Nothobranchius furzeri: one gene and its partners. The main gene of each other region encodes a partner of the protein of the gene in region 6 in a complex. Links are inferred from orthologs where the notes say so. Each region holds a gene or a part of one and is shown on either strand. Other genes may lie near its edges. The genes, in order: cc2d2a, tmem231, tmem107l, tmem17, ahi1, tmem216 and mks1.

The links.
Region 1: tmem216 (region 6) and cc2d2a share a complex: the UniProt entries of both Homo sapiens proteins name them as parts of the tectonic-like complex. The link is inferred for Nothobranchius furzeri from reciprocal best matches to the Homo sapiens genes TMEM216 and CC2D2A.
Region 2: tmem216 (region 6) and tmem231 share a complex: the UniProt entries of both Homo sapiens proteins name them as parts of the tectonic-like complex. The link is inferred for Nothobranchius furzeri from reciprocal best matches to the Homo sapiens genes TMEM216 and TMEM231.
Region 3: tmem216 (region 6) and tmem107l share a complex: the UniProt entries of both Homo sapiens proteins name them as parts of the tectonic-like complex. The link is inferred for Nothobranchius furzeri from reciprocal best matches to the Homo sapiens genes TMEM216 and TMEM107.
Region 4: tmem216 (region 6) and tmem17 share a complex: the UniProt entries of both Homo sapiens proteins name them as parts of the tectonic-like complex. The link is inferred for Nothobranchius furzeri from reciprocal best matches to the Homo sapiens genes TMEM216 and TMEM17.
Region 5: tmem216 (region 6) and ahi1 share a complex: the UniProt entries of both Homo sapiens proteins name them as parts of the tectonic-like complex. The link is inferred for Nothobranchius furzeri from reciprocal best matches to the Homo sapiens genes TMEM216 and AHI1.
Region 7: tmem216 (region 6) and mks1 share a complex: the UniProt entries of both Homo sapiens proteins name them as parts of the tectonic-like complex. The link is inferred for Nothobranchius furzeri from reciprocal best matches to the Homo sapiens genes TMEM216 and MKS1.

Annotation. Positions count from the first base shown.
Region 1 is NC_091748.1:39,034,630-39,038,129, reverse strand, and holds part of cc2d2a (coiled-coil and C2 domain-containing protein 2A), read right to left. Parts: intron 3,412-3,500; coding exon 3,220-3,411; intron 3,136-3,219; coding exon 3,029-3,135; intron 2,895-3,028; coding exon 2,754-2,894; intron 2,586-2,753; coding exon 2,429-2,585; intron 2,311-2,428; coding exon 2,039-2,310; intron 1,893-2,038; coding exon 1,715-1,892; intron 1,311-1,714; coding exon 1,157-1,310; intron 1-1,156. UniProt on the Homo sapiens protein: Component of the tectonic-like complex, a complex localized at the transition zone of primary cilia and acting as a barrier that prevents diffusion of transmembrane proteins between the cilia and plasma membranes.
Region 2 is NC_091744.1:86,205,128-86,208,237, reverse strand, and holds the end of tmem231 (transmembrane protein 231), read right to left. Parts: intron 2,133-3,110; coding exon 1,989-2,132; intron 1,563-1,988; coding exon 1,481-1,562; intron 1,379-1,480; coding exon 1,273-1,378; intron 1,134-1,272; coding exon 971-1,133; 3' UTR 501-970; downstream 1-500. UniProt on the Homo sapiens protein: Transmembrane component of the tectonic-like complex, a complex localized at the transition zone of primary cilia and acting as a barrier that prevents diffusion of transmembrane proteins between the cilia and plasma membranes.
Region 3 is NC_091745.1:78,310,947-78,315,116, reverse strand, and holds the start of tmem107l (transmembrane protein 107), read left to right. Parts: upstream 1-1,370; 5' UTR 1,371-1,677; coding exon 1,678-1,764; intron 1,765-3,397; coding exon 3,398-3,465; intron 3,466-3,538; coding exon 3,539-3,639; intron 3,640-4,170. UniProt on the Homo sapiens protein: Plays a role in cilia formation and embryonic patterning. Requires for normal Sonic hedgehog (Shh) signaling in the neural tube and acts in combination with GLI2 and GLI3 to pattern ventral and intermediate neuronal cell types.
Region 4 is NC_091744.1:77,713,092-77,716,635, reverse strand, and holds tmem17 (transmembrane protein 17B), read right to left. Parts: upstream 2,348-3,544; 5' UTR 2,265-2,347; coding exon 2,150-2,264; intron 2,015-2,149; coding exon 1,911-2,014; intron 1,708-1,910; coding exon 1,594-1,707; intron 1,517-1,593; coding exon 1,373-1,516; intron 1,237-1,372; coding exon 1,159-1,236; 3' UTR 501-1,158; downstream 1-500. Other genes in the region: agbl2 (cytosolic carboxypeptidase 2), read left to right, coding at 1-128, 200-230, 318-486. UniProt on the Homo sapiens protein: Transmembrane component of the tectonic-like complex, a complex localized at the transition zone of primary cilia and acting as a barrier that prevents diffusion of transmembrane proteins between the cilia and plasma membranes.
Region 5 is NC_091758.1:20,120,883-20,124,998, reverse strand, and holds the start of ahi1 (jouberin), read right to left. Parts: upstream 2,801-4,116; 5' UTR 2,383-2,800; coding exon 2,376-2,382; intron 1,679-2,375; coding exon 1,569-1,678; intron 1,347-1,568; coding exon 775-1,346; intron 682-774; coding exon 596-681; intron 522-595; coding exon 335-521; intron 206-334; coding exon 13-205; intron 1-12. UniProt on the Homo sapiens protein: Involved in vesicle trafficking and required for ciliogenesis, formation of primary non-motile cilium, and recruitment of RAB8A to the basal body of primary cilium.
Region 6 is NC_091741.1:65,725,063-65,729,110, reverse strand, and holds the start of tmem216 (transmembrane protein 216), read right to left. Parts: upstream 2,801-4,048; 5' UTR 2,779-2,800; coding exon 2,724-2,778; intron 2,190-2,723; coding exon 2,176-2,189; intron 2,109-2,175; coding exon 2,015-2,108; intron 1,796-2,014; coding exon 1,703-1,795; intron 1-1,702. UniProt on the Homo sapiens protein: Part of the tectonic-like complex which is required for tissue-specific ciliogenesis and may regulate ciliary membrane composition.
Region 7 is NC_091750.1:66,889,933-66,893,563, reverse strand, and holds the end of mks1 (tectonic-like complex member MKS1), read right to left. Parts: intron 3,475-3,631; coding exon 3,432-3,474; intron 3,343-3,431; coding exon 3,280-3,342; intron 3,203-3,279; coding exon 3,132-3,202; intron 3,057-3,131; coding exon 2,987-3,056; intron 2,908-2,986; coding exon 2,800-2,907; intron 2,282-2,799; coding exon 2,148-2,281; intron 1,934-2,147; coding exon 1,851-1,933; intron 1,608-1,850; coding exon 1,510-1,607; intron 938-1,509; coding exon 834-937; 3' UTR 501-833; downstream 1-500. UniProt on the Homo sapiens protein: Component of the tectonic-like complex, a complex localized at the transition zone of primary cilia and acting as a barrier that prevents diffusion of transmembrane proteins between the cilia and plasma membranes.

The DNA of each region.
Region 1 (3,500 bases), on a different chromosome or scaffold from region 6:
CAACACTAATCTAAAACACTAGCAGCTCATGTAAGTGCTATTTCATAAACATTTACATCACCATATATTTTATATTAAACAGCTATTCACATCAAACTCAGCGGTGACTCTAAAACTAAGGAGACCAGTTTCTTCCTGGCTTGAATTTATGACATTTCAGCCAGAAAATACTTCAAATGTGAAAAATGATGGCATGGTAAAGGTTATAAAATAGCATCTGCATAAACTGCTGTGAAGTTTTAGGAACGTTTGTAAATGTTTAGTCAAAACCAATCTCTGTTACTCCTAACTGAAGCTGTTCATAGCTACAAGTAAGACGTCGATCGATCGTAACATTTCAACAAAACCTCGCTTTAAGAGACTTGAACTACTGCTTAGTTCAATCATTTCTGACAGTCCTAAACTATAAATCTGCAAGTTTTAAGATCTTTCAGACTCTGCCTTCATTTTTGAAAGTTCTCATTCAATCATTTGTTCTATAAATCTGCCGAGGCCTACAGTATGGATTAAAATGTTGTATGCTGTTTAGTGTAGAAGCTGTGTGTGTGTGTGGGTGGGTGGCGCAGCAGGATTTGGAGACTTACTCATTAATATTCATGATATGCCAACATCTTGCCTCTGATTGGCTAACAGTAACTTGACTCTTCTGCTGCCTTCAATCCTTCTTCTTACTTGGGTAACAAATGATGATTTCTCTCCACAAACAACACAAGCCTGAAGAGGTTCTGCCACGTTGTGAAGATGCTAATGATTAGCTTCTACTAGCTGACATGTGCTCTGCTCTCTCCTGGATGCTAAATCAATACAGCTTTTCTGTGGGTGGTGGCAAGCCAAGAAGGGCGAGGCAGTTTTCCCCTGTGACGTAGATCTGTACGGCTTTACCACACAGTCTGTTTTCTATCGGCAGAGTAATGCAGGAAATAGGGGTAGAAACTATTTTCATGATCAGCTTGCATGTGAAACTCAGCATGACAGACTGTTTCCAAAAACAAGTATTATAGTTTCTCAGTGAACGAGAACTTTAAGGACACTGCACACCATAGTTGACTGAAAATGATCCTGTTAGTAAATCTTAACAGGAACACTTGTTGGGAACAGGAATGTTACACGGCACTGTACATATGCGAGTGAAGCAGAAATGAACAACAGTATTTACCACTTCCTACTCCTTCATGATCAAACATGACTCTTTGGTTGCTGCTAAACTCAAACGTCTCCACAGGAGCGCTGCCTGTAACCACTGAGGGTTCTGGTACCGGAACAAACACCTGAGCCAGGAGGGAGGAGGATGATCCAATCTGCTCAAACACCTGCACACAACACACACACGCACACACACACACACACACACACACACACACACACACACACACACACACACACACACACACACACACACACACACACACGCAGACACACACACACACACACACACACACACACACACACACACACACACACACACACACGCACACACACACACACGCAGACACACACACACACACACACACACACACACACACGCAGACACACACACACACACACGCACACACACACACACACACACACACACACACACACACACGCACACACACACACACACACACACACACACACACACACACACACACACACACACACAGAACTGATGAGAAACAGACTGCAGCTGCAGCAGTAACAACCTTGCGGTGCATTCAGAGTTCCTCTACTCCACCTGCAGATTCATGCTCTGGGGACAGTTAAGGATCTTGAGGTGGAACAGCTGGGTGAACTGCACCCTGAAGTCAGATCTCAGGGAGCAGCTGCCTGTTCGGGAAACTTCCTTGTCATTGTACAGGACTTTGATGAAAAGCGATCGCTTGGAAACATCTTCTCTTCGAGCAACCTCAGCCCTTAAACGAGAGAGCATAACAAACAGGATAAAAGCATGTAAAGTACTACAATAAGCAGTCTTCTCATGCCATCGACTAACATTTCCATAAATACATGAAACGTGCCAGTTAAAGGGGTGTTGCAGTTTGTGATGAATACGGTTTACCTGGGACAGAGTTCACTGGGTGTGATGCTTCCTGATGCAGACAGCTCTGGGGTCAGAATGACCTCTCCTGGCTTCCTGCGTATCCTCGAGGCTTTTTCTCTCACCCATTGCTCTATGGAGTCAAAGTCCGGCCTCTCGGGGGGTTCTGGTTTAGGAGGACCTTCCTCAAAGGGTCCTTCTGATTCGCTCCCTTCCTGGTCTTGATCTTCCTCGTCTGTATCATCCTGTGTCTGACCTCGTTTCTTCTTCTTTTTCTTCTTCTTTTTGGCTTTCTGAAAACATGGGATATAAAAATATGTGCAAAAATAAATATGCAATCCTACAAGAACAAGGCTGGCCTTATTTTACTCCACGGTGTTTGTGATGGTTCCAGCAGCAGTAGTCAGACACCTGCTTCTTCCTCCAGCGCTTCCACTCCTCCTGCTGTTTCTTGTACTCTGCCAGCTTCTTCTGGTAGTCCTCCTCATGCTCTGCCTCTATCTCCAAAGCTTCTGTCAGGATTTCCTCCTCGTACATGTGCTCATCTGCAGCCAGGTCCACGTTCTCTCTGAAGCATCAAGAAACAAAGCAGCACATTTATGGTATGAATAGAAAACCTTTCAGACTGCTGCAATAAGTATAATTAACATAATTCTGTTAAGATTTATAATAGAAAACTGAAGGAAATTTCTAAATGATGTTTTCAGTCAGGGTTGGCTGGAACAGGAGAGCTTACCTTCTGAGGTAGAGCTTGTATGGTGTGTTAGTAAATGTCTGAAATTCTCTCAGAGCTTTGATCTCCTTCCACACTTTGATGATGTTCTTTAGCAGAGTTCTGTCCTTCTCCTGCTCCATATCTCTCAGGTGTCGAGTATTCCTGGAACGTTCATGGGAAACTCTGCCAACTCTGTCCAACATGTTTCTGGACATATTAGGATCTAATGGGCCACTCCCATCGGTCCCGGGTCGGCCCGGTACCGATGGGAGTGGCCCATAAATGAGCCACCTCACCTCACTTCAAGGCTGTACTCAAAAATCCTCCTCTGAAGGGCCTGAGGGAGGTCCTGATCACCGTGGACCTTCACCACATTCCTCAAAGCATTCCTTAAACCATTCAACTAAAGCGGACACAAACACTCAGCTGTGTCAAAGCATTGTGGTACGGCCGTGGTAACCTCTCCACAGTATCTGGTGAAGTCTACCTTGTCAGTGAGGTGTCCTGAGAGATTACTCTGCCTCCTGGTGAGATACTGGTCGAACAGGTGAGCTAGACGAGCTGCCAGCACGTGTTCACGGCTGAAGAGAGGGTGATGGGAGAAGATCAGCCCCGACACATTGACATCGATCTGGTAGTCCCCCGTGGGGTCTGATGAACCGTACATGGACTTCAGCGGCTGAGAGACAGCAGAGATAACAACATTATCCAGCATTCGCTGCACAACAAAACTCTCAGCATTTGTTTTTAACTGCATGTCTGTTTGTG
Region 2 (3,110 bases), on a different chromosome or scaffold from region 6:
AACAGAATGTGTCAGGATTCCAGAAGACAAAGTAGAGAACGGAAATTAGCTGAATCAAGTCTTTAGTCTGCTGCATGAATTTTTTAAGAATCCACAACACTCTCAAAATGAAAACCAGAGCTGTCATCTTCACAGATTTATTTTATTTTAGGAGAGGCAGAGGATTATAGGATTTGGCTGCATTTACTTAGGCCTCAGTTCTCAACAGTCTCTTTCATTCTGCTTCTTAACAACCCCCACACCATAATGCTGCCACCACTGTGTTCACTATAGGGATAAGCCTGCTTACATGTTTGAAGTTTTGTCTGTGAAAATTAGTTTTTACATTATTTGACCACTGAATCTTTTTCATCAAGCACAAACACGTGATTAAAAACTAATCCTAGGAAAGAAGTTGTGCTTTAACAGCTTTAATACGAGAACTCCTATTTTACTCATGATAGTTCCAAACGACTCATTCCTTTCACACGTTGTTTAATAAATACCCAGTAAAGCTATAATAAGTTTAAAAAGTCTTTATTTTTGTCAAAACCAGTTTCAAATGTGTAAAAAAAAACAACAATATAGAAAATATATCCTTATGTTCTTTACAACTGAGCCGCTAAAATCAAACAAAATTTTTTTAATGATTTAAAAATAAGAAAAAAGTTGAAAAATCTACATAAGATGAAAAAAGTTACTAAACTGTTGAAACTCACGTAATTTAACATAGGATTTGTAATATCTACGATGTGTAAGTTGTTTTAATGTGACAAAGAAGAACAGTTTGTTCCCCGATGCAGATCAGGATGTATATGATCTTATAACAACATCTTTTAGAATGCTTAAGCCTACAGAATAAACAGATTAGACAATAACATATAGCTGAATCAACAACGAGAAGTCCAAAGAACAAACATTACAGACATGAAGCAAATTGACAAAAGGTGTCATCTGGTCAAAACCTAAAAGATAAACTTTCAGCTCTGCATCACGACAGGTGAGGTTTTCCTACAGGTATGGGTACGGTTGTTACAACCTGGTTCTGAAAGACAAATCTCTGGATGCGTTTGAAGACCCACAAGAAGATGAGGAGAACGCTGACATACTGGATCCAAGCAAACTTGATGGTTTCCCAGAAGCCAGGACGATAAGTGGAGGGAGGCAGTTAAGAAAACGTTAGAAGAATTATAACTCTGAGTCATGGTTTATGTAATCCGTCTCCTAAAGACGAAAAGGTAAATCAGTCACAAGACAACACCTTTTGGTGATCTTTTAGATATGAAAGGATATCTGATGAGCTCCAGCGGGTAGCGGATTTCAGCGTTAAGCTCAAAAGGTGAACCAGCAGCATGTCCTATAGTCCACACTGGCATTGGACAAGACAGCACAGTTGTTACTAAATAAAAAAGAAAAGACAATTATAAAATTATAAATACTTCATTATACAAAACCCGAGACCGTGGGCGTCGGCAGAGAATAAATCCCTCTGCTTACTTACCGTTTCTCTCCTGGTAGCTCCTGATAATGTTGCTGAGGTCATAGGAACTTGCAAAGGGGCTGGTGCCATCGATCACTGACACCTTTAGGTCAGTAAACACAAAAAATAATACTTTAACATATTAATTTAACATAGGGCTGCACAGTGGAGCAGTGGCTAGCGCTGTTGCCTTGCAGCAGGTCCTGGGTTCAAATCCCAACCTGAGGTCTTTCTGCATGGAGCTTGCATGTTCTCCCTGTGCATGTGTGGTGTCTCTGCGTACTCTGGCTTCCTCCCACAGTCTAAAAACACGACTGTCACGCTGATTGGTTTTCTAAACTGCCCGCAGGTGTGTGTGCATGGTTGTTTGTCCTGTGATGGACTGGAAACCTGTCCAGGGTGTACCCCGCCTACTTGCCCAGAGACTGCTGGAGATAGGCACCAGCCCCCCCACGACCCCGCATGGACAAGCGGGTATAGACAATGGATGGATAAATTAATATAAATAAGGAATAAACACTATTCTCACATTGTAGATGTTGTACAGGCCCCGATGAGGAAGCGGTGTCCTCTGCTGAAGCCTCAGGTCTCCACTGATGAACAGTTTAACTCCAGGTACAGGTGAGGAGTGCTGCACATAAGCCAGACTCTGCATCACCACTGTCGACATCCGCTAGCAGAAACCAGAGAAATAGAAATGCTCTGACTATTAAATTAAACAACAATAATTTAAAGGGACTTTTCGGACTTTTGAATTTTAATGCCTGCGATTGCCCCCTCAGGCCAAAAGCATAACAGCAGCTTCAGTAGTAGGCTCGTACACGAGGCGTGCACGCTGTACGTGCACACTCCTTAACGAAAATAACAGCTGAGACAGTCCCGTGTGTGTGTGTGTAGGTGTGTGTGTGTGGCCCGGAGGACAAAAGAACACACAGATAATTAATTAAATAATTTGGTTCTGTACCTTTCTCTTCAGCACAGCCGACAAAGGTTTATGACGGGTCAGTCCTCCTGCATGCTCAGATCATTCCCTTCCCTTGCTTGAAAAATTGTTCCAAAATGAAAGTTGAACCCACATCTTTTTTATCTGTGAATTCAATGCCGTTCAGCGAGTCTCAAATAAAAATTTGGGCATCTTACTGTAAAAAATATACCATTAATGTAAAAAATAAACTCTAAATAAACTATGTTCACATCCAGAATCAAACCCAGGTCTTCTGCACGAGAGTCAGATATCTTACAAGGTGAGCTACACTCTAGTAACATTCAGACTGTCTAACATTTATATCCTTGATGACAGCTGAAACAACGTTCAAAGAACGGTTCGGAGTGAAAATGGCTATTTTGTTGCTAATTAGCAGGAAATATCTAGAAGAAAGTTCTACAGAAAGTAGCTAAGGGTCCTCAGAAATGTAGCTAGCTTTGTCACTAGGCGTTAGGAACAGCGACAAAGTGGCACTGCCTCTCTCTCTGCTGCTAAAGCTACGGATAGCAAACGCTACGGGCGATGCCTGAGCGTGAACGCGCATGAAGCAGCCTGCTCGACCCGAGCATCTCTCTTTTTCTGTGATTTTACATAAAAACAGGCAATCACAGTAAAAATGCCAGGGCTCATTCTACAGGACCAGGGCATTGCAGGAGAATGTATGAA
Region 3 (4,170 bases), on a different chromosome or scaffold from region 6:
GGTGTTTATCTGAAGCCTCTTATGTTCGGCCTTGTCAAGTGAACAGAGTAACTGTGTAAAGTTAGAATAACCAGAAAGAAAATATGTAACGAAGTTAGCTCACATTTTCTCTCAAATGTTTAACAAACAATAAAAATGTTAAATTCACGAAAAAAAGCATGATGAAAATCAGTTTCCGTGGACGTGGTGGCTCTTTTCCATCACTGCAGCTAGAGGGCGCAGCATCCCGTTTCTATGACAACCAGCATCATCTCTGTCTTTTCGTGTGCACGGCCCAACGCCTCTCGTGCTATTTTCTAACATATTTAAATTAGTCCAACAGTAAAAAAATCAAACGCATCAACTTCAGCTTCCACGTTTTAAATGTTGTTTTGTTGTTATTTACACAGTGCCAGAGCTTTACTGTGACGCTGATATCATGTCTCCAAACGGAATTAGCACGCTCCATCATCACAGCTGGACACATCTGTATGCAGATGGCTTCATATCTGAAACATGGGGGGAAATCCGCTAAAACATCCAGACTGAAACTGCACAAATGGCTGAAGTGACTAATAAAGCCAGCGTCATACTCACGTTGATGCGAACCAGCGCGTCCATGATAGAAGTAAAGGTTTGGAACTCCGACTCGGCCATGATGCTTTCTCGATTTAAGCGACTCAAAAGGATCTCCTGGAGAAAACCCCGGCTGGTTGTCTTCTTCTCCTGGCCGCGAGGCAAAGCCCGGGCCTTGGCTGGTGCCGCTCCGCTGCTCACGCACGCTGGATCGGTTCAGTCTGCCTCGGGGGAAGAGTCCACTGGTGGGATGGGGGTGGGAAATCTCTGGCTCAGACCATCTAACAGAAACACATTCGTTTCTTATTGCGCTGTTTTGTTTTACAGGCACGTTTATCCTGCCAATTCCAATTAAACATGCGGTTGTTGTTTGTCTTTTTAAAAATAAAACCGTTTTATCCAACAGCGAACGGATCTGGTGGCCCTTTCTATTTCTTTCATTTTGTCTTGTTTTTTTTTTCGGGGAACCTGAATTTTCGGGTAGTTTTAAGCATTTTTATGATAAAAATGAAAAGACATCAGGTGTTACCATCAGATCGCAGTATTGATGAATAAAAAAAGCAAATAAATAAACAAATAAATAATAAATAAATAAATAAATAAATATCCAGCTACACGTCAAGCTACACCTCTTTTACTAACTCTGACCAGGAAAAATGAAACGCGCTGACTACCCACCGTTACTAAATAAGATGTTTGGGTTTCTCTGTTTTATATTATTTACTGCTGATTAAAAACTCTTTTACGTGACGCGTTCATGGTCAACGCGGAACCGTTTAGGTGTTCGTTTTTTTGTCCGGTCATTAAAACCGTATGCACATTGTCCGTGGTTGTTGTAGCAACCGTTAGTTGCGTCACAACGTGAAGTTTTTGGCTCTGTTAACGAACGAGACACAAAACTAAGCTATAGACTTCGCGAGTTTTTAAACAAACAAATGAATCAGCTGGTTTATGTCATTAGCCGCAAGATAAACAGATGCTAAAGTGTTCGTTTAAAGTTAGCACATTTAGCTACATGCTAGCCTAGCTTACTGAGTGGTTTCCGTCGCAGTAAACAAAAACCTTTTACTCTTTTTTTTACTCACGAGCTTTTAGAGTTTTACTTTGCTGATTAGGATCACCATGTCGGCCATCAGCAGCCTTGTTCCTGCTCGGTTTCTCACCATCACAGCTCATCTTGTCATTGTTATCACCATCTTTTGGTCAAGGGTAAGAAAAAAATGGTTTATCTTTAATCTGATTTCTTGTGCCTGATTTTATTTTCATAATGGAGAAAACTTTATGGGATTTTAGATCTGTGGTTTTATTAGACGTTGCTGTTATATGAAATACCACAAAGGTGAACACACAAACACATTGTTAGAAATTCTGCTTAAACATCAAAGGTAATTAAAACATATTCCTTGTTGTGTTATAAAACGTCATTTAAGTTCCAGGAAGTGTCCTCATTGACCCCTAACCAGCATGTTCTGGTTGTTTCCCTGCCCAAACACACCTGATTCAATGGTTGAGTCACCTGTTTAGCATGATTAGGTCTGCAGAAGCTGTTAATCACCTCTAGGGTTGTCACGGTGTGAAAATTTAACCTCACGGTTATTGTGACCAAAATTATCACGGTTTTCGGTATTATCGTGGTATTGTTTTAAACGTGTTACATTTTCAGGAAACTAAATAAACCCTGTATATCAGGAAAATATTGTCCTCAGTTTGTGTCTAAATTTTGCCTAAAATGTGTTATTTTGTAATTATGTTGTTTATTTGTTTACATATTTCCCCTTAAGTCTTTAAAATACCAATATTTGCCCATAACTTTTCTTATTTTATGTCTGTTTGATGTCATCATTTTAAAAATATTAGACCAGATGATACTCAGTACTCAAGTAGCCTTCTAATCAGATACTTTTTACCCTTACTTGAGTAATAAACCCTATATCAGGAAAATATTGTCCTCGGTTTGTGTCCTTCCAGTGAGCTTTGCAGATGTGGGAAAATGGCATCAGGCAGTAATCGTTGTTAAATTCATAATTATTCTCGGAGAGAGACCAACTCTTATCTGCCCCTGGGAGCCCCGTAATGCATAGCGTCATTTCAACATGGCGGTGTCCGCGACACGGTTTATATGCAGGTAGCGGCGCTGCGGCTGCTTTATATAGCGACTCGTTGCGTTCTCCCTCAACCCAAATCCTCGGATCACGCATTTTAGCTAAAGCGCTAACGTTAGCTTGCCTTGCGTTGACTGTAGAGTTGTGGGTGATGGTCACGCAGATGTGTCATGAGATTTGAAGCGTTGCTGCCTTTCACAGACACTTTTTCTGCTCGTGCTGCAAACAGGATAGCCGTCTTCTATCAGCTTTCCCTCGGCATTCTTCTGGTATAAAAAAATGCCCGTACTTCTGACTTTGTCTTCTTAGAGCGATAATAAATGTCCTGAGTGCTGCCGTCTCCTCCTTTGTCCGTTATTTCAGCTTTAGCTTCAAGAAAGTTTTGGTTGTAAACAACAAAGTGCGCATGTGCCGCCGGCAACTTCAGCAGATGATACGGTGGCTGGTAAGGGTCACCGCGCCTACACCGCAGCCACGGTAATCCACCGAGATAATATAGTTTTTAAAAAAACAAGACGGTTATTATTATTGTCAACTTTTTTACCGGGGTTTACCGCTACACCGGTTACCGTGACAACCCTAATCACCTCTTGGTTAAAAACAGCAGAGCAGAGAAACCACTGAAACATGCTGGATAGGGGCCCTCGAGGTGCAGGGATGGACACCACTGCTCTACGGTCAACATCACATCCAGATTATTCAGCCCTTGAAATAATTTGCAATTGTTTTTCTTTTTATAGGAAAATAATGTAAAAGCATGTTTACCACTGGATTTCACACCAGAGCAGTATGATACCGAAGACAAAAAGTGAGTAGATATGTATGTAACACACTCGTATTATCAGGTTCTCGGATTAAATGATCTCTTTTGTTCCCTCCAGGCTGGTGGTGGCGCTGGCAGTCACACTTGGTCTGTTTGTAATCGAGCTGGCTGGCTTCTTTTCAGGAGTGTCTATGTTCAACAGCACTCAGGGTCTCCTGTGTATCCTTTACTCATCCTTAATGAAATATATATATATATATATATATATATATATATATATATATATATATATATATATATACATATATGACCTTTAATATTCAACAGTAAAGCGACTTCTGGTTAAGGCTGTAACACAAAGAACACGCAGCAGCAGCAGCTAGTGGATAACTAGCTTAGCTCTCTCCCACTTGGTCGGTTCTCTCTAAAAGACAAACGGAATAGCTGAATAAAACCCAAATTACTATAAAATAAAGGTTTGTTATAGGTTAAAGAGTAAGGATGAGTGAATTTGTTATTAAAAAGCTAGTCACTCCCAAATTAACTTTTTTTTTTGCTGATTAACTATATAAATGAGTGTCAATAGTTTTGCTAAGAAATACACACACACACACAGGCTCACAACGACACTGTGACATCATATGGTACCAGCTAACGTTCTAGGGTACCTCTTAGCCAATAGCGATGGCAGATTTAAATTCAAATGCAGTGCAGAGTTTTTACCTGACAACGGCACGACACTGACAGTTT
Region 4 (3,544 bases), on a different chromosome or scaffold from region 6:
GTGGAAATGCTCCTCTCAGCTACTACACCTGAGTGCTCTCCTTCCACTTCCTCCAACTTTCATTCCCTCTGCGCAGCACCAGCGTTTCCCTCTGCGCCAATCTCTTTCCCACTCTCAAGTCTGCAGAGGTTTGTTTCTTGAACAGCAGCTTAAAGTCTCCATCGGTTTTTGCCTAATGCGAACCACCTTCTTCTTTCAGGGCTGACATCTCCTTTTGCAGCACCTGGCAGGTAAACTTCATGGATAGATTATAGTTTATTACAAAAGGGTGTGTTGTGTGTTCATAATTTTTGTATGCTGTGTTGCTTTCATGGCAGATGTCCCCCATCTTTGTCTACCAGCATGGCTCCAGCTGTTGTTCCAAAAAACCAGCCGCTGACGAGTTTCACCTCCACCAATACCAGCAGTCGGCATCGTTTTAGAAACAGATCTTGTCTTCAGGCGTCCTCCACATCAAACACAAACCTAATCAAGACAAAGCAGTGAAACGGGTGCCAGGATTCTTCTCAAAGTTCAGCTGCATTTTAATAGAACAAGTTATTTTTGTGACAATGATGCTTCATTGGGAAGATCTAACAGAAAAACACATACGTTTTATACCAAATCTCACTTATCTCTTCGTCTTGTGACAATAACATGCTTTAATTCTTCTGATTATTCTAATGCAATCTCATGATTTCTCAAATAATATTTTCAGTACATGAAAATAAATGTTGTAAAAAATATAAAATAAAATAAAGCACTTGGGTGTTTCATGAATTTTGTTGAAACTTTCTGTTTTGGTCAGAACGTTTCAGTCCCTCTGAAGCAAAAAGCTCCTGAACAAAGAGCAGCGTAAATGTCGGTAACTTTGTACAAAAATTTCTTTTGTAATTAAAAAATAACTAAATGGTCAACAAATCTAAACCAGATGCTAACTAACAGTACAGAGTGAGTCAAGTAAACATGATTTACTTCAAATTTACAAAAGCAATGATACAAGTGGAACAAAATACAAAAATAAATATTTTCTATTATTTTTTAGCATTAAATTTAAAATTGTGTGAAGAAAGTGTACCAAATCCTATATGCAAATACATAGTTTTTGTCATTTGAGACTGGGAGGTATGAAGTAAGAATAAATCCTGATCAAATGGAACACCAGAACATATGTGGACGTCAGTCAAACTGTTGGAGATGAAACTGGCTTCCTGTGTGTCTAACCATTTCCCGCAGGGCCACAAAACCAAAGACAGCCTGGATCAATCAGAAAACAAAAAAAAAACAGATTACAATCAGTCACAATTACTTGATCTCAAATTTGAGAAAACACAATAACATGTGTATTTAGGTGCATTTGCCACGTAAAATGGAGCTGAGAATCCAGTCATACCTGTGTGAGGATAAATATGGCAAGAACTATGTGGACACCTCTCTCCAAGGGCAGTATGATTATGGCTTCATTAAAAAGTTGAAAAAGAATGAGTGGAAACTGCAGCAGGATGCTCAGCAGCCAAAAGCCGGCCAACTCTGGAACCTTCCACAGATCAGAAATTACATTCAAACCCCACCCTGCATTCAGCACCTGTATCATGTCATCTGAGATGGTCTCACCTTTTCTTGCAGGTTTCCAGAGTAACCAAGATAAAGTCTGATGGCCTCAATCAGAGTCATCAGTAGAAGAACAGTCACAAGGACAAACTTGTAGTAATTTGGAAGGGCAGGATACTGCAAGAACAACTACCATCAGCATTCTTGTTGTGTTGGAAGCTTCAAAACATACATGAAAAATCTGATTCTAAAATGAATTGCTATAGTTTAATACATATCCATACTTAAGCACCAAAGTATCCTAAATCTAGCTTAGATATTTGGGATTTTTCTTTCTTTCTGGGTTTTCTGCTCGCGGCTTCCATCCACCAACCTCGTACCTTGAGGTGAAGCATCACAGCTTCACTGATCCACCAGAACGGGAAGAACCACGTGTTAAAGTACAAAGACATCTGGAGCTGGAGGCTGGACAGAACCCGTTTGTCTAAACACATACAAAAAAAATGAGGGGAACTAACTAAAATCGGTATGGTAAAGTAACAAGGCTACACACATCCATGCTAACATCCATGCTAACTCGACTTCATAGTTAGCTTGTGTTTTTGTTTTTTTTTTTTACCGTGAGGTATAAACGAGTCGTTGTGTTTTGAGAACGGCTCATTACGAGTCTGGTCGAATAAAACATTCCGAGAAAAATCTTCTAAGCGCCTCCTAACTGTCTCCGGCAGCTCCATTGCAAAGAAAATCAGGCTAAAAACAACATGACCAGAGGAGAAACACTTCCGCTTTTTCCTACTAGCTCCGTCGTGAAAGCCACCGTCGTTTCCATGGTAACCATTGATGGTAGTGGGGGTGAGAGAAAGTGAAAGGCCAGAAGCAAAACGTGTCTCCTTTTGCGTTTTCAAAACTTCCCAGATTTTAACTACATTGATAATAAAAATTTAAAAAGCGAGACTAGATAGGGGGGAGAGTATAATGTGTAGCTCAAATAATATTTATGGAAGCTGATTAACGCTACTCATTAAAAAATATCTCATTTCATTATTATGAGATAGCATTTGATATGGCTTTATGTCTCAGAATAATTAGTTACTATGAGACAGCATCATAATTTTTACTAGCTATCTCATTATAGTGATACTAGGGTTGCAGCTATCGAACATTTTAGTATTCGAACATTCTATCGAACCCTCTGTTGATTCTCTTTGACAATGTTTTAAGTGAAACAAAATTGTGGCTTTCTGCAAAAAATGTGTATGTAAAAATAGTATGTATTCAATAGGTGTTGTCTAGTTCCCTCCCTCTCTGCACCAGTAAAATTTGGTGCACATATTTAAACCCTCCCACTGTCCTAATGGGTGTGACCCCACGAGGAAAGTTGACCATTGAGCAGGGTTGATGGTTTATCCCTTGGGTCCACGTGGCAGGGGTGAGGAGTGAGCACCACCTCACCCCTGCCACGTGGACCTCAAGGGATAAACCATCAATCCTGCTTTATGGTCAACTTTCCTCGCGGGGTCACCCATAAAGACAGTGGGAGGGTTAACAAAGTCTTGAATCAGTAAAAAATAGTTCATGAAATTTAATTAATCAAACCATTCATACCATTTAATGATTAATTTCCACCCTACGTGATGAGATGTGGGGCTGAAATGAATAGATAGTATCTCATAATTATGAGACGCTATCCCTAAATAATGAGATTGTGTCTTGTTATTATGAGATAGGTAAGTCATAATTATGAGATACATTTTTTTAATCAGAGTGGCAGGAATGGGCTTCCATACTTATGGGAACCATGCTCAGTAAGTTTTTTTTAGTTATACAAGTCAGGCAAATAACACCAGGAGGAGGAAAAAACCTGTTTCATAGTTGTTGTTTTTTTGCTTTAAGAGAAAATGAAAATTACTGATTGTGTGTGAAGCCACTCCCGCTCTAGCAGAAACTAGGATGGCTGCAACAAGAGAGGCAGCTGATTCTCTGTCCAGCTACATGTGTTCAAAGCTGATGAAGA
Region 5 (4,116 bases), on a different chromosome or scaffold from region 6:
AGTATATCTCACTTCAAAGAAGAGGATGACTCTGGGGCTTTCATCCTTTTGCTCAACAAAGTAGCCAAAGCGTTCGTTGAATATGATTAGCTCTTGCCACTCGGGGATGATGGATTTGTTCTTCTTGAAGTCAAAAGGCTGAGTCATGATAGGGAGGATATGGTCGACGTTCTGTCCCTCATAATAGGAAGACACAGGTCGATGGCTTCAAAACACAAACAGATTTCACTTTTAATTAAATGTTTGAGCATGAAAACATTTTTTTAAACTGTAGCCCAAATATTTTAACGCTGATAGGTGTAGCAGCATAAGATCAGAGATAACTTCTTCTCACCAGTCCCTTTTCTTCACATAATTGCCCGTGATCTCATCAACAACGTGGATCTTCACCATGGGGTGCGAGATCAGTAAGTCCGTCTTCAGGCGATCCGTTTTATGAACGAACACTCCCAGAACAAGACCGTCATCAAATGTCGGCTTTTGCTCCTCTGCTGCTTCAGCTTCACTTTCTTCTTTGACAACTAAAAAGTTGAGAAAAATAACTCATCAAAATCTCTTTTTATGTTACACAAATTACTTTGTTTTAAAAAACTACCGTGCTTCTTCTTCTTTTTCTTCTTTCCCTTTGATTCAGTTTTATTTTCCTCATCAGCATCTGGATTGACTTCCTCATCTTGATCCCTGATTAAAGAAAAAAAAAGTCAAAATGCTGCTTAAACTTTATTCTTGATATCAAAAACTACAATAAAGCTAAAATTAGAGAGAAATACACACCCTACATCTGACTCAGTTGTTACAGATTTCAGCTTTTTCTTTTTCTTCTTCCCCATATCATTATTCAACACAGCACTTTGTGAGTTAACAGTTTCCCGTTTGACCCTTGTTTTCTTCACAGTCAGCTCCTCTTCCTGTGCCATCTGCTGCTGGTATTCATGCAGTAGTTTATCTTCTGGATCCTCCACCGGACTCTCTGCAACATCTTCTACATTTTCTCTGACTTTTCCCTTCTTACTTTTTCCTTTTCGTTTCTTTTCACCAACAGCAGCTTCTGGATTCAAAGTATTGTCGGCTCTAGAAGCATTTGCCCCCTCCTGTAAGTCCTCTGGAATGTCTTTGGGTACAGGTAAAGAAGGGAGGTCCCTCTTACTCTTCCTTTTGGCTTTTGATGCTTTAACTTCTTCATCCTTGCTGTTGTTACAGTTAACCTGTTCTGCTGTTTCCTTTTCTCTTCGTTTGTTTTTGGAATAACGAGGGCTGCCCTGTTCAGGGTCATATGTGTTTTGCAGAATGGTTTCGTCATCTTCTGTGTCTTTCTCAAGGTTCAGCTTCCTGGTCAGATTCTGAAGCTTTGAAAAAAGAGATCGACAATAATAATACATGTGATTTATTAATATTTTAAATTGCTAGAACTGGTTCACATTAAAGAAAATAGAACATTCTTCTGTTGCAGATGCTTTCTATAATTATATTTCATAAATAACTCAAGTTTGAATACAACACTGCAGCCAGAATGTAGAACATTTGATGACAACCACTGGGTGGAAAACAGCACATGTCAGAACACCTACCACTATGGTCTCGTTTGCTTCATGGATTTTCTTCTTTGACTTTTTCTTCTCAGATCCTGAATATTTTTTGAAGACTTCATTAAATCTTTCCCGGGTCTCTTCACTCACACCTGGAAATGTTTATTTTTTGTTATCTATACAATTCTTGATTACAAAAGTTGCTTGAGATAAACACTTTAGAATCATTTGCTGAATTTGTAAGTGGTTGTAAAAAAACACTGATTACATATGGTAGTGGCCTGTAATAGTACGGCACCTTCTTAGGGTTCAACAACCCCCCAAGGCGCACCACAACACAATCAGTCATTCACACACACACATACACATGCTGGTGATGATGAGCAACAATGTAGCCACAGTTGCCTTGGGGCGCACTGACAGAAGGGGGACTGCTGAACACGGGCGCCACCGGTCTCTCCGACCACCACAAGATGGGTTAAGTGTCTTGCCCAACGACACAATTCTCTGGCGGGAGCTGGGATCAAACCTGCAACCTTCTGGATGCTGGACAACCTGCCCTACCTCCTGAGCTACTGCCAGCTTTGGTTTTGTTTGACTTCCATGAAAATACAAAACAACATCAAATAATCTGAGAGAATGTAATAAATTAAAAGGATTTTAATATTAATTTAACAATAACACTTAATATATATTTTTTATTTAGTGTAAAACTTTAATCTCTGGATTGGGTGGTCACTGAAAGATATTTGACTGGTTTACTAGTTATTAAATAATTTCTATATATTTTTTAATTGATTTATTCACAAAAATTGTTCTTTAGTCGCTTCAGGACAGCTGAACACTCACCTGGCATTTTCAAACATCGTGCTGTTTCTCATTCTGAGGGAAAAACGCCAATAATCCAGAAAAAAGCGTATCTAAAATACAAAGCAAAATGTCGCAGCTCACATTCGCGACTCTAAAGTGAGCATTAAGTTTCACTTAATGATACTAGAACGTGTCCGCTTAACGGAGACACACGAGATGTTTTATTAATAATATTTGTTAGCTATTTCACCAGAAGCTAGTTAGCTAGTTGCTAGCTAAATTGCTCTGGTCACGTACTACGCCTAAAAAAGTTATATCTTTGTTATTGAAATACATTATTGAACCAAAATATAACCATATAATTGTTTTTAATAAGTTAATGTGAGCTTTCTACTTGAAACTCCTTGTTTGAACGCGGGTTACGCTTAAACTGTCCTCTACCGCACAACGCCGTGATGGTTTCCAAGTCAACAACGTACGGGCGGAGCGACGTAGATAAACAAACAAAAATGTAACCAATGAAATTTAAGGACACGAGAACGCTATAGCACGTAATGAGTGTAGCTCCCCCCAAATGCTGCGTTCAAAGACGAACATAAACTTGGATTTTCCTAACTTATTGCAAGAGCTCAAAGCAAACAGTGTGGCTCACTTCTTTCTCCCACAAATTAGTCAGGATTAAATTTACTTATACGTTTCTACCCGTAAAATGCTATATTTTTAATTAAGATAAAAGTTGGAGAACACATACATTCATGGTTTACTTTTCGAGCTTTGTAACTTCAGTGAAGGATGAATTAAGAAAATTATCATGTCAGAGTATTCAAGTTGTCTTGAGCTATAGATTTTCTATTTGATACTTGCACAAATGTGTAAAGTGTCTGAACAGTTATATATACATTCCTAACACAAACTATAATTATGCATTACATAACAGTCTTGTGACTTTACAGGTGAGTCCTGCAGGTGAAGCAGACACAAGTGTCAGAACATTTCATGTGAAGAATCACGGCTTTTATGAGAGCTGCTCCAGGTTGCTCAGAGGACTTTTTGATCGTTTGAAGAGATTTTGGGGAGATGTTGAACAAAAAGTAAATGAAGTTTTCAGAGAAACCTTCAATGTACCTGCTTAAGGAACACACCTGAGATTGAAATATGAAATATGAAATAGGATTCAAATAGTAACACACTTATTTGATGATTAGCTCAAAATAAAAATAAAAACGTATTAATGAAAATACCAAAATATTTCAGATTTATGCAAAAAATGATCAATAAAACTTTAAAGGCGTCTCATGAGTTTTCCTTGTGAAACCCATCAGAATCGTGGGTTTATTAATTTATTTTCCATTTTAAGTTTATTCTCCATATATTTTCTGTAACAGCCATGTACAAAATCATTAAGGGCCGCACTTTGGGTACCCCTGATCTGAGATCTGCCCAGATTAGCTGCAAAAGGATTTTTGTTTAAATGAAAGGAAAAGCTGCAGAAATGTTCCATTAAAATCTCTGTTTTCATTTTCCAAAGTTCCTATTTAGATGCATGAGCATTTTCACATGACCCAAAGTCTTTGAGTAATTCAATCATAGATCGTCCAAGTATCAAAAAGAAGGAGCAGTTTGTACTAGTGAACATAATCCGGTCCGGGACTGGTTTGTGCTTTATGTTAGTTTTCTGAGGATTTTTAGACTAGATCTATGAGACAGGAGATTTGTGCTTTCTTCTTCTGCAGATGGACACATTTCATCGGTGCTGGCTAACAGCGAGCTGGAGGACTAG
Region 6 (4,048 bases):
TCAGAGCTGGTTTGGCTGCTTAGTCTTGTATCAGAGGTTTAAAGAGTTTACAGTAAACATTTCACTTCACGAGTTCTTCTCAGTAGCTCCTGCTGGATGACGTGTTCAGACACACACGTTCACACAAACTGAGACACTGACTTCTATGTTATAACTAATATAACTGTTCAGCTTCAGTTTTAATGATTGTGTTCAGTTATTTATCAAAGACAGTCTGGTGCAGGATTTTCACAGGGATTTAAAAACAAGTCCTTACATGTGCTGTAGAGCCATAATTAAATACATGTGTTGGGAGAGTTGATCACTGGGTTTCTGTTTTATTCCTCTTTTTGTTGTCATGGTGACGCAACAGGGGCCACATGGGTGCAGGTGGTCGCAATCAAAAGGAGCTGTCAGTCTGTCGCCTGGTGGTTTTACAGAGGAGGGATGGGTAGCCGTAGTTATTGTTGACCATTACAATTCAGTTCGTCTTACTTTGTTTACATGGTCACGTTATGTTTAGGGATTTGACCCAAATTAAGTTAAAGCCACCTGTAACAGTAAAAAGCTATAATAAATGGAGAAATGCATCCCATCTCTCTGTGGGTTCATGAGAAGCTGACAGCGCATCAAACAAATAGACCTGGGGCCTCATTTATCAAGCTTGCTTACACACAACACGGGGTCGGAAAACTGCGTAAGGAACTTTCCACGCAAACTTTGGGATTTATGAAAGAAAACTTAGCAGGAAAATGTGCGCAACTTTAAGTTGACTAAGGACCTTGCTTACACACATGTTGGACATGGAGAGCACCTGCAGTGCTGCCGAGAAGGATAAAATTATGAAATCCTGCAGCATTATCACTTGTACTGCTTCGTTTTCACACAGACAAGACCCCCACATGCACACACACACGCGCGCACACACACACAGCCTAAAGCGCAGAATACGGAATGCAGAATATCAGCAGGGGGACAGATCAAGACAGTGTGAGCGTCCTGTCACCGTGACCCGATTGATCATGCGCCCTGGCTACTTGTACAGGGGAGATTTCTGTTTGGGTGGCTGGTTAGCGTGCGTGACTTTCACCTGGGAGTCTGGGGATCGAATCCTGATTGGACAAAGTTTTTTATATCCGCCACAGATCTCTCTGAAGAATTCAAAACATTGATGGCTTCAGCAACATTGTGCCACTCCGTGGAATTTCTCTTGTTTTGCAAAAGCACTTCCTTTCATTTCTCCACCTCACCCACAAGTACCTGAATTTCTGCTTGTGAAATAGCGCTTCCTTGATCTGCGGTCGTGATCGAAATGCTGCAACAAGCCAGCTTATGTATATGCATGAGATCCACAAGGCACTTTGCATTGGCTATTTATGGCAGTAAGTGGCTGTGGTGAGGGCGGGATGTGACTAAAAAGCAGCTGAGAAACATTCTCGTTAGTCTCCGATTTATGAAGCGGAGATTGCGTGCAGCTGTGCGTCCTCCATGTTTGATAGATCACAAACCTGCTTGGCGTAAGTACTTTTTTTTTGCTGAGCTTAAGTACGGTTTTATTAAGGAATCTACGCAATGTCTGATAAATGAGACCCCTAGACCCATTCTCTGCCTCTATAGTGACTGTGGAAGTATGTGGTCACCCGGAGGAGGTGACGTATACATGCTCACAGAACTAGTAAACACTGATTTCTAAATACTCATGTTTGCTGTTTCTGTTCTTTACCATAAAAGATCCTCAGAGTCTCCAAACCGAGGAAGAGAAGGAGCAGAACCACGTCCAGAACCAGATTGTCTGATGGGTACGGCAACAAGATTCCTGCACAGACAAAATGGACCACATCTCTTTTTGGTTTCCACAGAGAAGGTTTCATCAAGGAGCTGTTTGGTTGCCAGGTGTTATCTCATGAACACTGAGGATTTATTTGAAAACTAAAGCAGATGAAGGCACAGTTGAGATGTGATTAATCATGGTTCCTCCTGAGTTTATAGTTTCTGCTGTTGTGAAAGTGGGAAATTTGGTAAATATGTCACAGACCTTTATAAATGAACATGAGGATCTCTGCCAGGTAGAAGGCAGCAAAGTACCAGCTGTTCAGGTACAGGAGCACCTGCAGAGGAGTGGATGAGAGCTGTACGAGAGACGGTCAAGGATAACAGCAGCAGGTAAAACATGAGCTGCCAGTTATATAAGGATACAACAGGCTGGCTTCCTGCAGAAGAGACAGAACCAAGCTCTCATTAACATCTGCAATTAGTATGCTGTAGGCTCAAAATCAGCATCAGTAAAATTACTGACTTACTACTGATGGATAAAATAGTAAAAGAAAAACAGTAGGGCTAAATGATGTAACTAGCTCTAAATGCTATTTATATAGAGAGAAAATCACTCATCTGGATCTTGCATCTATAAAATAATATTTTTGTTTACGTAAAAAAGCACGAAATACGTGTTTTCCACAATAAAAAGATTATTTGTTACTGCGTAGCTTTTAGGAGTAATACGCAGTAACGTGTTCGCTGATAAGTAATGTGTTGATTTTTAGGTCATCGCAGTTCGAGCAGACGCTTAGCTTCAGTTCACAGACAAGATAAACCTCGGCTGCCGTTTTCTTTAGCTTTTCCTCCAAACGGAAACGAAAACGTTACATTTCCCTTTTCATTTGGGTCCAAATAAACATCGCGACAGATTCAGACGGCGGACTTTTATTCGGTTTATAAGGAACAAACAACTGCATGAAACTCACCAGGCGCCATGTCTTGATTTCTGGTTGCTATGGATACCATAGACTTAGAACACATACACGCTGCTTTCTTTTATGTAATTTCGAAGCCGCCATATTGGAGAGGGAGACGGGCGAAGCAGACTCAGGCTTTTTGGAACGGCTTACAGCTAAAAGCCAGCAGATCTTTTACTACTCTAATCCCAATCCATACTCGAAGCATCAGTGGTACGGAACATCTCTGTTTAAAATTTAATCCATCCACACCGGTCGCAGTGCAGAACATTTTAGGCGCATCTCAGAAGTGACTCGCCTTCATGTTTTCTATTTTTTAAGATGTATTCAGATCATCACCCGTCTTCATTTGGTCAGGATGACCCTGAACAGTCTCCATCAGCTGCCTGCACTGCACTACAGACACTAACAGCAGGATTAAGACAAATCCCGATTCATTTCAATCTTTAGTTAGAAACGTGACGAAAACTAATTTTGTTTAATTGGTGTCTAACTGAAACTGGGCTTTACCTCTGTTTTGTGTTCATCAAAATATTTTTATTTCATATAAAAATTGTTCGTGATTAATAATCAAGTAATTTAGAAAATTTAGGCTATTTTTTATTTAGGCCTTTTTTTGTTGTTTGTTACTCATAAAATGTAATACAATCACCAGGGTAATCGATCGTTTCAGTATACTGAGCTTAAGATAATTTTGTGCTAGTTAAACCAAATCAATAAGAATGTATTGTTTTTAAAACTAAAAGAAACCAAACTCATTAGCTCAAAATTATTCACCAGTTGTATGTTTTTTTTAAATATATATTGTCTGTTTATTCCGACACTATTGTAATCGTAAAACGTTTAGGCTTGTAATGAATCAAAAAAGGAAAACTATATTTCACGCCATAAATGCATTATGCAGTCTGAGGATTTCAGTGCAGCTTCTACATTTTACATGTCTGTGTGCTTCCGGTCGCGCTGGTTTTTCTTTTTCGGTCCTCTTCATCATAAGGGCTGCACTACTGCCCCCTTTTGGATCTATCGAGTTTCTACAGTCTTTCACGTGCACCCGTGGATTAAAAACGGGTCTAATGTGTATGTCGATGGTCTAAACCTGTTTTGTTTTTTGTGTTTTCTGTAGAATATATAGTTACGTTAATAAAATATCAAATCAAGCTTTATTATTTTTCCCACAAATGAATCTATTATTCATCAAATAAAGAGCTAAAACAAAACAAAATTGGGTTATTCTATTTTTCATCTGAAGTAGCCTATTGGTTTTCTTTATAAATTCAAATTCATTCAGTCTATCATTTATCACCCAAAGATTGCAGGAGAAAATGTTTAATTGT
Region 7 (3,631 bases), on a different chromosome or scaffold from region 6:
CTATGTACGAAAAAAAGCATCAACACTCATTCCGCAGTAAACAGCCCCAAACAGTGAATCTAAATAACCACCAGGGTTTTAGTTTCAGAAAACCGATTTCAGTTTTCGTTTGAGCATTAGGCTAAATCTGACACAAAAAAGAGAAAAGCGACCAGCGGCCCAGTTCCCATCGCTACATGCCTACTAGAGATACGCTAAAGCAGCCATACATTGACTAAGACACACAATTTACACATCAAAAAATTACACGATTGCAAAATTAACGTGAAATATGTGTACTTAAGTACCTGGTCGTGTGTGAAACTGAGAGGGAAAATCGCTGAACGGTCCTTTCCCTGGTTGGAGGAAGATGGAGAATGGTGCGTTTACAGTCATGGAAAATTGGACTACTTCCCTTTGGAGCTAAAACGAATGCTACGTTGGAGGACAACCCGCAGTCAGATAATGCGGGTTTCAGTCCATTTGTTTTGTTTTAAAAATGGGGAAAATATACCACTTCATTGCATATTTAATTTTTATTTAGTTAACCTTTATTTCAGATAAGAAAAATAAACAGTAAAATAAATAATAAAAGAAAACAGTACCTTGAATTTTGTAAAAAAAAACTGCTGGTATTATAGTACATTTATTAGACAAGTGTTATGCTCCATCTCCTAATGTTGGTGTAATAAATCGTTTCTGATGATTTTTTAAGTTAATAACATTTGTCAATAAAATGTCAGTTACAGTCTGAGAAGAACAGAAGATGACTTGAGACAAACTTTTCAGTTTTGGAAGCTTGTGCAGGATCCTAAATGCATCTTGAAATGTCAGTTTTAGTGTGTTTTTGGTTTTTATGCAGAAAATTCCAGCTCGAGTTGGGAAGTAGAGTTGATGGCTTTTTGTGGGAACGTTTCTCTGGCCTCTTGTAGCTTTTTGTATGCTCTTTGAAAGGCCTCTGAAGGGAAATAAAACAAACAAACAGAAAATACAAATTAAATTAACCCTGCAGAAAAATTCCCTGTTCTTTCTACATTTTTGTCTACTTTGGGCAATCAAGCTGCAATGCAAGGCTTGGTATACAGTCCATAACATTTTGTGAGTGTCCTAACAAATCCATCTTCCAGTGGTTTGAAATAACGAGAATCTAAATGATAAATGACCCATAATTGTATAGCGCCTCTCAGAGTAAGGACTCCAAAGCGCTGTACACTACAGTGTATCATTCATCCATTCACACACACATTTACACACTGATGGTGATGAGCTACGATGTAGCCACAGCTGCCCTGACGCTCGCTGACAGAGGCTAACTGGTGGCATTATGCTAATTTTCACTCCCGCTATCATAAAATCATTTCATGGTAAAAATAATAAATGGTGGAACATTCAGAGCCTGATTACAGTAAACTTTTTCACTTAACCACACACACAGAACTCACAGCTCACACAAACAAGGATACACTCAGCAGCAAACAGGAAGTGAAAGTCTTTTAAACCCTGATGCAAATACTGTGTGAGTATGTTTACCCAGAACATTGCAAACATCTCCCTGCTGACTAAATCCTCCCAGCTGGTCGATGACTTTCTGCCTCCTCTTTTTCTGAATGGCAGCGTCAACAAAGGCCCTGAAACAACCAGAAGCGAACAGTAAACACTTTTTAAAAGTAAAGATGAAACAATTTGCATTAATAATACAGATCTTTGTGAAATTTGTAAATGGAACACTTGCATTTGCATTAAGAAATAGTGTTTTGCATGCAGTGCAGAGAGTAAATCTCACTTCTGATGTTTTATTCATTCCATATAAACTGTTAAGCTGTCAGGGAGAAAATCAGAAACAGCTGCTTGTTGATTAAACTGGTCTTTACCTGGCTTGTTGGATGCAGTTCAGATTAAATGTGACACTTCCTGAGGTTAGACTGCAGAAGCCCAAGCGACTCAGCCTGTCTCCCTGAAACCAGACACCATTGTACCAGATTAAGAATCATAATAATGCATTAATTTACTTGCTTGCTCAGGTATACACAGTTAACTTGGTGATAACGAAATAATGCTACAACTACCACAATGTATATTTTTAAAACATCATGTTTCACCCATTAAACCTTCAGGAGAAAATTTATGCAAAGGTTCAAAACCTGGAATTAGCTTAGCTGTGAGTGCACCTTGAAGGTCCCTGGTATTCTGACATAGCTGTGATCTTCAATCTCTGCAGAACCTCCGATAAAAAAGCGCCTCAATGCAGAGACCGTCCCCATCTGAAGAGGTCGCCATGTGTGACAGGTCATGGTGTGCTTACCTGGGATGCACCAGAAACAGAATATATGATGGAGATGAATGATGGAGCATGCAGAGGAATTATTATTAACTTTTCTGAACCATGTGAAGTTAAAAATCTTGCATATTTGAAATTGTTGGTATGAATTCATTTGTAGTACAATCTTTGGTGAATTATCTGAATATCTTTAAATTTTGTTTTTGAATGTTCAGTAGATAAAACTCAGTCAGGGGTGTCGAATCCTGGTCTTGGAGGGCCATCGTCCTACATGTTTTAGAGGTTTCCCTGCTTCAGCACTACTGATTTCAATCAGCAGGGGATTAGAAGGCTGATCAAACCATTTAATCTGGTACTTTGGAGCAGGGAAACAACTAAAACGTGCTAGGTAGGGTTTCTTGAGGAACAAGGGTGGACATCCCTGGACTAAAATAAAATAACACTTTTAAAGACAATTAAAAATAACAGTAATGTGAATCTAAAATCATCTAAATAATAAAGAAGTAAATTAGTCAATGAGTCTTATAGATGCAGCAGCATACCAGGAATAGCTGGAAAAAGCAGATAACCATAGCCTTCAATACGATAGCGCCCCCACAGGTCAAGAGAAAGAACTTTGAAGTAAAGCACTGGCCACTGGGGAATTAGCTCTGAAATTAAAAAAAGTGAAAACACTTAAATTTAGACTTTTAAATCACATCATTTCAAAATGAAAAGGCTCACGCTGACCTTCACTCTCTTTCTCACTCTTGTAAAAAATCTCAAAGTTGAAGGGGTAACTGAAGAAAGCCACATTTTCCTGTTGGCAGAGATCAACGTGTGTCAGTGTTCATGTTCTGAAGCAAGTAACCAGTTTCTTACGTCAAACACACACCTTCCCCAGTGATTTGGTTCGACAAGTCTGGGTAACCCCTGACAGAAACTGGGGCATTGAGCTGGACCAATCTAAAACAAAAAAGTTTACTAAGATCTCACTAAAACTAAATATCACAAATGAGTATCACAGACGGCTTGTTACTCACTATTGGGAAGATCCAGGACGAAGTGGACGTGTAAGTTATCATACTCAAATCCTTTAGCCGAGACTAAAGAGAAAAAGAGGGAAAAGAGAGAGTGGTAGTTTGAAAGTTGATGGGTAATCTAAAAAGATAGCGATCACAGCCGTCCTCCTCACCGATCTCTCCATCCATCAGGTAACGTAGCGTACCAACAGCGGGCTGGACAACAAACATCTGGTTAGCGAAAAATGTTTGCAAAGAAACAAACGTTCCCACTGGTTCATCTAATGCACTTTAATCAGTTACCAGCTCAGAGGCCTAGTGGTAGAGGGTCCGCCCTTGGACATCGGGGTTCAAACCCGGTCGGGTCGTACCA